3 linked regions of the Stegostoma tigrinum genome follow. The main gene of each other region encodes a partner of the protein of the gene in region 2 in a complex. Links are inferred from orthologs where the notes say so. Each region holds a gene or a part of one and is shown on either strand. Other genes may lie near its edges. The genes, in order: zinc finger FYVE domain-containing protein 9-like, ptpn23a and zinc finger FYVE domain-containing protein 16-like.

Region 1 (3,749 bases), on a different chromosome or scaffold from region 2:
ACCATCTACATAAATCTCATATTTCTTTGGCAGTAGCTTTGGTTCAGCAATAGCACACTCATCTTAGTTACAAGGTCAAGTCTTGTTACAGAGACTTAAGCACATAATCTTAGCTGAAAAAACAAGCTGGAAAATAGTGTTGCATCTTACTCAAATAAAAGCAGTAAACTAGAGCACATCTGGAGAAATACAATCTGTATTTTAACAGGGTGGAAGAGGTCTCCACACAACCTGGCCAACATTTAATGTTGAACCCAAAATCACCAAACTGGAAAAATGCTTTGGCAAGTGCTAAGGCAGTGAAAGACTCAAAGCAATTCAAATTGCTTATTCCCTTCCACGTGTGCATAATTCTCCTTTGAAATAGGTTATGGTACCATCTCATGAGCTATTTGAATTGAACAGTGCCATTTTATAAAATAAAATCTTGACTTTTTTATCTATTAAGAACATGGACATTAAGCAGCATGTTAAAAAATTCCATATACAAGTCAAATGAAGGCCAAAAACAAAAATAATTCTTAGAAAAACAACACCCAATAAAGTAAGAATTTTGAGATCGGAACTGAAATGCTGCAGAGATCTCTTCTAGTGGAGGGCAGAAGAGGGGTTGACATAGGCACAGTTGAATCGCAGATGTCATGGCATGGTTACAAACGAGCTACAGCAGACACACGAGAATGCAGCAGGGCAGATGAACGTGGCATGCCATGACAGCAGATCTCCTGGCAGAAGCAGCTATAAACAGGAGTACTGACAATCCCAAATTTTCTTCCTCATTACTACTGTCAAAATTTACAATGGTGAAAATTCCTTAATCTCTGTTCCAGTTAACTAATCCCAATTCAGCAAGCATTTTTCATAAACACATTTTCCCATCTCACCCTTTAAAAACTCAAATGTTAATCGCAACTAAATTGCAAACTTAATTTCTTAATCCTCTAACAAACTGACATAATTCGTTCACGGTACCAACTTAGCGCTCTCCCTCTTTACGAAACAGCCAGACCTGCTTTCCACACTAAATGCACGGCAGTCAGCAACTAGCAACTGCAGGACTACTGTCATACAAAGCTTATTGTTCCTTTCCAGTAAGGAATCACACAAAGTAACTTTTTTAAGAATCATTGTACACTCAGCAATCTAAAAGTTAAAGATGAATTTTGACACGGATCACTGAATTTCGAAACCTTCGGTTGAATTGTGTGTAGTCGTTTCTTCGTCCCTGTGCTCCAAAAAAGTAAGCATAAAAAGTATGCAGCGAACCTTCAGCATTACTCAATATCATTGCTACAATTTATAATATTTAAGAACAAAGTTGTTGGGAGACAGAAATATTCCCTAGACATCGTAGGGTAAAACTGGCTAAAACCAACGACTGATCTCATTTGTTTTGGATCCAAAAAGCGTCCTGCACTATTTTGTCTCTGTCGTCGTTTGCACTTTACAACAGAACCCGGAGGTTAATAATGAGAAAACTTTTTAGCATGATTCTGCGGCACATTTTGTTTTGACGGGAGACGATAAGGGCTGTATGACCTCTGCACCCACTGTTCGGAATTGCGAAAATCTTGTGGTTTTTGTCTATGAAGATTACGTGTTTTACGAAGGTGCGAAGCAGTTTTTACAAACAGATCAGGACACATCTTTTGCAGTTATGCTTTCTGTTAATGAAAGCCAAGTCAAATCTATTCCTAGTCAAAACGCAGTAGTGCCGTCAAGCCCAGGAGTTACACCCTGCAAAATAAACGAATGAGTCCCACCCTCCCCCACCTTCTGTGCCATGTACGATTGCTTTAATCCGCAGCATTTAAATCTAGGACTAATGACGAAATTCAAATATTTGCAGACTTGCTAGACAAGGCACAAACCAATCTCTCTCGCGCGCGCACACACACACACACACCTTCCCGAAAAAAAAATCGTGCTCAGAAAGCCAGGCGGTGGACTATTTCAACACTGTCTTCTTAGGCCTACCCGAAGCATGGGAGTAAGTGCTTCGGTAATATCCGCAAAGCACACGCTTGCCCTCGGCTGCCATCTCCTCAGCAGGCGCAATATCCAGCGAGCCGTCGGGGTCGCACGGAGGGCGGTCCAAATCCCTTTAAACAATTCACATCGCTCCCGGACTTTGTTTCCTTACCAGACGCGGGTTCATCGCTTCCAAGACGGGGTTGAAGAATGTCGCCGGCCACACCGTTGGTCGCTATTATCCACTCTGCATCTTAATAGGCAAGATCCGCAACGCTTCACCCTCTCCATCGACATCAACTCAACAGCCATCCATCACGCGCTTGACGTTTGGAAAATACCAGCGGCAGCCTTCCAACCGCCAATCCGACCGCGCCATCCAATCTGACCAATCACCAGTCACTCCCGCCCACCCTCCACAGACACGACCCCTCAACTGACCAATCCGTATCCTCAGAACATACGCCGCTTGAGCGAATCGCCAATCAGATAGTTAGGACTTGAACGACTATTTTCAATTGGTCTATATCTTACCTGCTTCTGCGAACAGCTCCTCAGATCCGTACTCCCGGAGCAGCGACTGGTTCTTTTCATGAGCACGTTACAGCGATGGCTTGTAAACTGTTTGGCGCATTTGTTGCTTCGTTTCCATTGAAGCAGCGGTCAAGAGTAAACACTGTCCAGATAATTTCATAAACAAAGACGGCCTAGATATTTAAAATCCGCATGGAATGAGGTCATTCGGCCCATATTCTCCATGCTGGCGCTTTGCCAGAAACAATTGAATTAGGTATGTCCCCCTACCTTTTTAACTTTTGCGCCGCACTTTGTTTCCCTTACTTATATAATGACCCAATTCTCTTTCAATGGCATGATCGAACCCATCCCCATCACACTCTCGGGCAGTGCATTTTAAAAGGTTTAACTCAAGTTTTGACATTGTTTCATTTGCTGGTTAGCTTTAATCTCGGGTTTTGGGCTCTTCCGCAATAGGAAATCTTTCGCTCTATCTACTCTGTCACACTCTTTCATCATTTTGAATATGCCCATCAAAATCTCATCTCAACATTCTCTTTGCCAGGACCCAATTTCCCCAGTCTAATCATGTAGCTGAACTTTTCGCTGCTTGGAATGATTCATGTTAACTTTGCTGTATGCTTAAAGTCTTCCAAAACTGTAGTGCTCACAACCGGACATAATACTGAAATGTGTACAAGTTTATCACAACTTGCTTGATGTTGTACTGTATATTTCTTTCAATAAAGCGGAGGAGCCTGCATGCTTTATTAGACATTCTTGCATGCTATTCTATCACATACAGTTATTAATTGCACATATGCTGAATGTCCTTCTGCTCCCGCATAGACAATGGCAACAAAGTTGGAAAAATAATGAAAACGAAAACATCAGAATCTTCACTTCGAGAAAACGTAATTTTCGCGTTGAACTTTGACGCTCTTAAAGAATCACACTTTTGCACAGCGACATCTTTCCCATGTATTTGCATCTCATTATTAAGCCAACTCACTTTGTTCCAAGCCTTCCTAAAAATCTAGATGGTACAAGTTCCAGACATGTCAATAATTACCATGATTACCATTCTCAGCAAACTTTCGTCCACAGAAGTCAGCATCGGCAAACCACAAGCCTGCACCATCGTGACGCTCTGGGTTGAAATCTCACACCTCTTCTATTCTTTAACGTTTGATTTTGGAGCGCAGGGGCAATATGATTTACATTCTTCTTCAAATAACTTTATATTCAGAGACACATGTATC
Region 2 (3,749 bases):
ACAATGGCAGCCTTCAAGATACACAACACAGAATCACGAGCAGAAACTGATAGCTAAGCTCTGTACCCATGAAGGCAGCCTCAGCCGTGATCTTGGGTTCATAATCACATTACATGTGACCCCACCACACTGTCCTGTATCTGGAAAATCTTCCTTACTGTCCTGTTTCGTCACCACCACCTGGATAAATTATTATGATCTCTCGACCGTAATTGGTTTGCACAGTTTTGGATTACAACAACTCAGGATGTAACTGTTATACCTATCATGTTATTCCAGTCATTTGGATCGTCTCTGACACCACCTTATTTTTAAAGTTTTTGTAATTATCTCTCTGCCTCATTTAATCAGACTATAGGTTATCCCTTTGCTCGTTATTCAGCTGTTGACACTATATTCACACCATCTAACAGTTTGGATGACCTGCAGCGACTTATTATTTGACCCTTCGAAAGCTTGTTTGTTTTCAAATAAACTTGTTAGACTATAACCTGGTTCAGAGATAGTAGGAACTCCCATTTCTGAAGAAGCGAATAAGCCCGAAACGTCAGCCTTCCTCCTCCTCTGATGCTGCTCGGCCTGCTGTGTTCATCCAGCTCCACACCTTGTTATGTCAGACTGTAACCTGGTGTCGAGTGATTTCCGACTTCGTCCAGCCCAGTGCAAAGCCGGCACCTCCACATTCTAATAATAGGTAGCGTGCAACGTCAGAAAATGCGATACCTTCTGCGTATAAACCGATATCTTCTGAGCCACCATCAGTTTTGAAGGCTCACCGGACCCGAGACGTTAATTCTCCTCACAGATGCTGCCAGACCCCCTAAGATTTTCCAGCAACTTCTGTTTTCGCCCCTTCTTAGTGTGGTGAAGGCTCCCAGAGAGCGCGGGGGTGAACTACAATTCCCACAAGGCTCAGGGTGCCGACGTGACGTCATATCCGCTGGGTGACGCCACGACTGGCTGGTCTCGGTTGTCCTTCCAACATGGAGGCCGTGCCGCGGATGCCGATGATCTGGCTGGATTTGAAGGAAGCCGGGGAGTTTCCTTTCGCCAGTGCAGTCCGACAGGTAAATAAGAATGACGGAGAATCGGCCGAAGATCGAAAGCAGGGCTTGGTGTTCTTCATCTGAGTTAGATTATTCTGAGAACTAACAACGCCAAGGCGTCCAGACTCTGGCTGTTCGGTTGGGAGGAGGAGGAGGAGGAGACGGCCTCCGCTGGCGTCACTGAGGCCCCTGAATGTTTCTGCTGAGCCCCTATGAATCCCAGGAACCGTATCCGGGCCCTGCGCCTACCACCTTTAACATTAAGAGTTCGGCATCTTGTTTTTAAATAGATTTGCTGTTCCTTTTGATTGCTCGTCATTCCATTCGCTATTAACTTGCAGACTCGGACAGCGAAACGTCTGAGGCTGAACCAAACCATTTTTTTCCTTGATGTTATTCTTCACCTAAGATGAGCTTCACAAAGGGCATTCAACGCCATCACGCCATGATGAGTGTAACAGTCAGCTGTCAGCAGACACCCAACATAATGCAGATCAAAGGTGCTGCAAAATACTGGAATGCTCAACAAGGCAGGCAATGGCCGTGGAGTGAAACAAAGTTAATGTTTCACGTTGAGGCATCCTTTCATCACAATCATGACCTTCCTTGTGAAAGATGCTGTCTGACCAGCTGAGTTTTTTTTTTAAAAATAGTTTCATATTACTTTAGTTCCAACACTGTGGGTTCAAATCCCACTCCAGAACTTGACCAGACAAATCAAGATGGATGCAGCAGTCAGTACTGAGGGAGGTACAGTCATTGGATGACCCAACAACCAGCTGCTGTATGCCTTTTTTCTCCCTCTTTCCCCCAACATACAAATTTTTAACTATTTCACTAAATGTTGACATTGTTGTCAACATCAAAAATTAGTTGTCCATCCCTAAGTGCCCTTGAAAGGTGATTGGAATTACCTTCTTGAATCTCAATGGCCCGTCTGGTGCGGCTGGGAAAGAAAAGTTACATGATTTTGCCTCCATCCTAGTTCCAAGTCAGGAATGCTGCACCAATGGACTTGTAAGTGGTGATCTTCCCATGGCCTTACTTCCCTCATTTTTCCAGGTGCCAGAAGTTACATGTTTGAATGGTACAGTTGAAGAAGTGTTGGTCAAATGCGTGGCAGTAATTTGTAAATGGTGCTGGACAATGTGAATGTTTTAGTTGATCAGTGGGTGCCAATAAAGTGAAATGCTTTGTTCCAGATTGTGATGAGTTTCTTCTGTGATGCCAGGACTGCATTCATCCAAGCAAATACAAAGCATTCCATTACACTCCTGACTCGTGAGTTAACCACCTCACAGTTTGTGGTTACTGATCAGTTGAGTTTCTGGTCAGTGGTAATCGATTCAATGATGGTAATTTCATTGTCTGACAAGAGGAGATGGTAAGATTTCCTCTTGGTAGAGATTGTCATGCCAGCTACTTATGGGTTGGGGATAGTACTTGCCACTTGACAGCTCAAGCCTAAAGAGTAGGCCTTGTTGTATATGGTTTGGACTACTTCAGTGTCTGAGGAGTTGGAAATGTCACTGAATCAGAAAATATCACATTTCTGACCTTGTTGGGAAGGTCATTGAAGTAGCTGAAGCTGTTTGGACCTAGGATGTTACCCTGAGGAATTCTTGACCTGAGATGATTGACCTTCTTGTATATTGACTAAAACATTAACTGTTTCTCTGCTGATATGGCCAGACCTGTTGAGTTTCTCCAACACCTCTGATTTTATTTCAGATTTCCAGCCATTGCATTACTTTGCAGTTCCTTGTGTTATGTGTGTCCCCCAGCTGTGACCGCCCCATTTGATTATGTCTCATGATTTGACATGGAGTATAAGGCAGCATCATTTTCTCAATGTCAAAATGTGTTCTTCGGCATATACGTGGAGATGTCTAAATCTCACCTCCACTTTCTGTTACTGTATTTCGATTGATTTATTGTCACCTGTACCAAATTATGGTGAAAAGCTTTGTTTAGGAGCAGTACAGGCAGATCATAGGAAGCAAAGATATACGGATCAAAAAGATATAGACAGAGGCATACAAGTTACATTGCACAGGGCACGTGCTAGGCAAGATCAGCAGTGTTTGAGGCTAGAGAGTCCCTTCATCAGGTTTAATAATGGCTGGGAAGAAGCTATTCCTGACCCTGTTGGTGCATGTATTCAGGCTCCCGTATCTTCTGTCTGACAGAAGAAGTTATAGGAGATTATTATCAGGGTCAGATGGGTCTTTATTGATATTTCCTCAGTCTCCCTGGATTAAACTGATCTGGAAAGTGTAATCTTTTTTAAAAACAATTCTAAAAATTGCTCTATGGATGAGCCACTTCAGTTATTAGGAAAGATTTCTTAGGGTGGGACTATTTTCCATGGAGAGGAGAAGGCTAAGAGGGGATTTGACTAATGTTTTCAAAATCATGAGGGGCTTTGGCAGAGTAGATCAAGAACCAGAGGGGATTAGTTTTTAAATACTTTGCAATAGAAGTAAATTTGAGGTGAGGAAAACCTTTTTCTCACAGTGAGTAGTTACGGTATGGATTGCACTGTTTGGAAGTATGATCGGTAGATTTAATGGAGGTATTCAGCCGAGCATTGGATTATTATTTAATTAGAAACAGGTACAGGTTATGGGGAAATAAAATAGATGTTTGGCTATATGTTAAACTGTTCAGAAGATTAGTTCAGGCACAATGGGATGAGTGGCT
Region 3 (3,749 bases), on a different chromosome or scaffold from region 2:
TCCCAATTCCTCCGCCTCCACCGCATCTGCTCCCACGATGAAGCATTCCACTCCCGCACATCCCAGATGTCCACGTTCTTCAGGAACAGCAACTTTGCCCCTGCAGTGGTCGAGAACACCCTTGACTGCGTCTCCCGTGTTTCCCACAACACATCCCTCACACCCCGCCCCCACCACAACTGCCCCAGGAGGATCTCCCTCGTTCTGACACACCACCCCACCAACCTCTGGGTACAACGCATCATCCTCCGACACTTCCGCCATCTACAATCCAACCCCACCACCCAAGCCATTTTTCCATCCCCACCCTTGTCTGCCTTCTGGAGAGACCACTCTCTCCGTGACTTCCTTGCCCGCTCCACACTCTCCTCCAACCCCACCACACCCAGCACCTCCCCCTGCAACTGCAGGAAGTGCTACACTTGTCCCCACACCTCCTTCCTCACCCCCATCCCAGGCCCCAGGATGACTTTCCACATTAAGCACATGTTCACCTGCACATCTGCCAATGTGGTATACTGTATCCATTGTACCCGGTGTGGCTCCCTGTACATTGGGGAAACCAAGCGGAGACTTGGGGACCGCTTTGCAGAACACCTCTGCTCGGTTCGCAATAAACAACTGCACCTCCCAGTCGCGAACCATTTTAACTCCCCCTCCCATTCCTCAGACGACATGTCCATCATGGGCCTCCTGCAGTGCCACAATGATGCCACCCGAAGGTTGCAAGAACAGCAACTCATACTCGGCTTGGGAACCCTACAGCCCAATGCTATCAATGTGGACTTCACAAGCTTCAAAATCTTCCCTTCCACCACTGCATCCCAAAACCAGCCCAGTTCTTCCCCTCCCCCCACTGTATCCCAAAACCAGCCCAGCCTGTCTCCACTTCCCTTACCTGTTGTTCCTCTCTCCCATCCCTTCCTCCTACCTCAAGTCGCACCTCCATTTCCTACCTACTACCTCATCCCGCCTCCTTGACCTGTCCGTCTTCCCCGACTGACCTATCCCCTCCCTACCTCCCCACCTGTACTCTCCTCATCTTCTTTTCTCTCCATCTTCGGTCCACCTCCCCCTCTCTCCCTATTTATTCCAGAACCCTGTCCCCATCCCCCTCTCTGATGAAGGGTCTAGGCCTGAAACATCAGCTTTTGTGCTCTTGAGTTGCTGCTTGGCCTGCTGTGTTCATCCAGCTCCACACTTTGCTATCTTGGATTCCCCAGCATCTGCAGTTCCCATTATCAATTGAGCATAACATGGCTGATTATAGAATCATAGAATCCCTACAATACAGACAAAGACATTTGGCTCATCAAGTCTGCATCAAACAGCATCCCACCCAAACCCACACTATCCCCATAATTTTGCATTTAATACAGCTAATCCACCCAGCCTGCTCATTACTGGACACTTTTGGGCCATTTACGACAGCCAATTCACCATGTATGCCTATCTTTGGACTATGAGAACGAACCTAAGCTACCAGCAGAAACACACACAGACACAGGGAGAACGAACAAACTCCACGCAGACAGTCACCTAAGGTTGGAATTGAACCGGGGCTCTTGGTGCTGAGGCAGCAGTACTAACCACTGCACCACTCCATCTGCAAACTGCCACATTCATCATATTAACAGACTCACAAATAAAGTTCATCAATTAATCCCAAAAAATAAAGTAAAGTAGAGGTGTAGGAAGATAGCTCAAGAACAAGATATTTAGAAATGTGGCTGGAAGTAAATTTGGCAGCATACAAGAAATCTATCATTTTGTAATAGTACCAAAGGGAAGGATGAAAAAGGCACTTGCAAAAAATGCTTAATCAAACCCAGGTAAAAATCTGTGATCATTCAAATAACATATCACTAACTAATCAGCAACTGAATATTACAGAATGGTAAATTCAAGGAAGAACAATTAGTAAAACTAAAAGAAGCAACTGCAAATTGCCTTGCAAAAATTAAGTGAAGTGAAGAGTAAGAATTCTTAATTCTCCCAAAGCAAAACATGGCATGAGCAAAGCTACCAACCTACATAGATGTTAGTACAATAAATTGATGAAATGCAAGCAGAATGCCATTGACAACATCCTGTTAAAGGTACAACAGTTTTTTTCCAGAAAAATTGGTTTCAGAGAGGATGAGAAGTGGTATATTTTAAACATTTTAACATGTTGATTAGACAGATTATGTAACATACATCCAGTAATATTCGCAATATAAGTATTACGCACGAAGGTACTTCCCAAATTTACAGAAACAAAACAATATTAAAACAGTACAGTTAAAAAGGTTAAAGAATGATAATCCAGGCTTGCTCTCGTGAAATGACACATAGTAGCTACTATGTCTCACGTAACGAAGTCAGGAGAATTTCGGTGCAAGTTAACATAACCAAGGCAAAGAATAAATACAGCGGCATTCTTCAATTTCACTAGCAAGAGAACTTAACAGCACAGTGCTCAGCTCTCTGTTCCTAAAACCAGAACCATTCTAACATATTCACTGGGAGCAATGAACTGCAGGGTTACCAGCGGTCAAATAGAAACTATTATGAAGTCCTTGGATAAAGTCTGGAAGGAGAGCGAAGGCCTTCGCTGTCGTCCCCGGTCCCTACTTGAGATCTGGAGACACGGGACGAGTATGTGCCAGCAGCAGGACCGTAATTAACCAGGGGTGGGGGTGGGGGCTTCAGCTATCGGGACGAGATCCGCTTAAGTCCTTCGAGGTGGAGGAAAAAGGGAGGCAGTTATCTCGACCCTGGGGTTGTGGCAGGGGATGCGAGGGAACAGGGCGGTGGAAGGGGCGGTCAGGCCGTCAAGCCCGGATAATTTTGTTTTTGTTTACGCCCCACTGCGTCGACGGTTAAACAAAACCGAATGAGTTCGACCATGATCACTCACCATAGCTGAGTTACGGCTTCCTCTCCCGGGGTTTTCTGTGTGTGTATTGGGGGAGGGGAAAGGCCAGACACAGCGCATGCGCGGCGCTGGGTGACCTGGCGCGGGGCAGGGGGTCAGCGGTCACCACAGGAACCGGGGCGGGGCCTAAGGCTCCAACGGTCACTGCCGAGCCCAGTGTCTACGCTCCGCTAAAACAAAGTAAAGAACTGCGGAGCTGCGGAATCTAAAACAAATAAGAACAGCGATTGCCGAAGGAAACTGTGACAGCAACCTGTGAAGGGAAAAACAAGAGTTAACGTTTCGAGTCCGGTGACCCTTCCTTCACAAACACAAACGAAGTTGCTGGAGAAGCTCAGCAGATCTGGCAGCATCTGTGAAGGTAAAAACAAGAATTAACGTTTCGGGTCCGGTGATCCTTCCTTCAGAACTGTGCTCCGAAACATTACCTCTGTTTCTCTCTTCACGAATGCTGCCGGACCTGCCGAGTTTCCCCAGCCTTTTCTTTTTATATGTCACCGCTGCCGCATTCGTCCGGCTTCACCCTGAAGCGGCGATGCTCAGACGAATGAGCTGAGCATCCCTTACCAGCCAAAACACACCACAGAGAACAAAACCAAAGTTGCTGGAAAAGCTCAGCAGGTGTGGCAGCGTCTGTGAAGGAAAAAAATCAGAATTAACGTTTCGAGTCCGGTGACCCTTCCTCGGAACTGAGGACCACGGAGAATCATCCCGTCGCGTAAAGACTGCCCAATCAAAAAGGTGAGGAACTGAGGTTAAAAAATACCCCCGAGAGAACTGTGGATGCTGTAAATCAGAAACAAAAACAGAAATTGCTGGAAAAGCTCGA

What was found.
Region 1: the proteins of ptpn23a (region 2) and zinc finger FYVE domain-containing protein 9-like are in contact, whole or in part, in a crystal structure (PDB 5MJY), measured with the Homo sapiens proteins. The link is inferred for Stegostoma tigrinum from reciprocal best matches to the Homo sapiens genes PTPN23 and ZFYVE9. Residues at the interface, in NP_056281.1 of Homo sapiens: Phe62, His125, Glu137, Lys141, Val142, Cys144, Thr145, His146, Gln148, Cys149, Leu189, Lys192, Ser193, Asp196, Arg198, Lys199, Leu202, Arg205, Ile206, Ala336, Leu338, Leu342, Asp348, Ala350, Val351; in NP_004790.2 of Homo sapiens: Glu2, Tyr4, Phe5, Gln6, Glu8, Ala9, Leu12, Asp13, Val15, Leu16, Asp17, Phe19, Glu20.
Region 3: the proteins of ptpn23a (region 2) and zinc finger FYVE domain-containing protein 16-like are in contact, whole or in part, in a crystal structure (PDB 5MK0), measured with the Homo sapiens proteins. The link is inferred for Stegostoma tigrinum from reciprocal best matches to the Homo sapiens genes PTPN23 and ZFYVE16. Residues at the interface, in NP_056281.1 of Homo sapiens: Phe62, His125, Glu137, Glu138, Lys141, Val142, Cys144, Thr145, His146, Gln148, Cys149, Leu189, Lys192, Ser193, Asp196, Arg198, Lys199, Phe201, Leu202, Arg205, Ile206, Ala336, Leu338, Leu342, Asp348, Ala350, Val351; in NP_001098721.2 of Homo sapiens: Asp2, Tyr4, Phe5, Ala8, Val9, Leu12, Asp13, Leu15, Leu16, Asp17, Phe19, Glu20, Gln21.

The regions. Positions count from the first base shown.
Region 1 is NC_081361.1:64,112,620-64,116,368, reverse strand, and holds the start of zinc finger FYVE domain-containing protein 9-like, read right to left. Parts: upstream 2,325-3,749; 5' UTR 2,144-2,324; intron 2,131-2,143; exon of another isoform or gene 1,907-2,130; intron 1-1,906. UniProt on the Homo sapiens protein: Early endosomal protein that functions to recruit SMAD2/SMAD3 to intracellular membranes and to the TGF-beta receptor.
Region 2 is NC_081358.1:98,494,913-98,498,661, reverse strand, and holds the start of ptpn23a (tyrosine-protein phosphatase non-receptor type 23), read left to right. Parts: upstream 1-941; 5' UTR 942-983; coding exon 984-1,067; intron 1,068-3,749. UniProt on the Homo sapiens protein: Plays a role in sorting of endocytic ubiquitinated cargos into multivesicular bodies (MVBs) via its interaction with the ESCRT-I complex (endosomal sorting complex required for transport I), and possibly also other ESCRT complexes.
Region 3 is NC_081356.1:101,132,636-101,136,384, forward strand, and holds the start of zinc finger FYVE domain-containing protein 16-like, read right to left. Parts: upstream 2,984-3,749; 5' UTR 2,903-2,983; intron 1-2,902.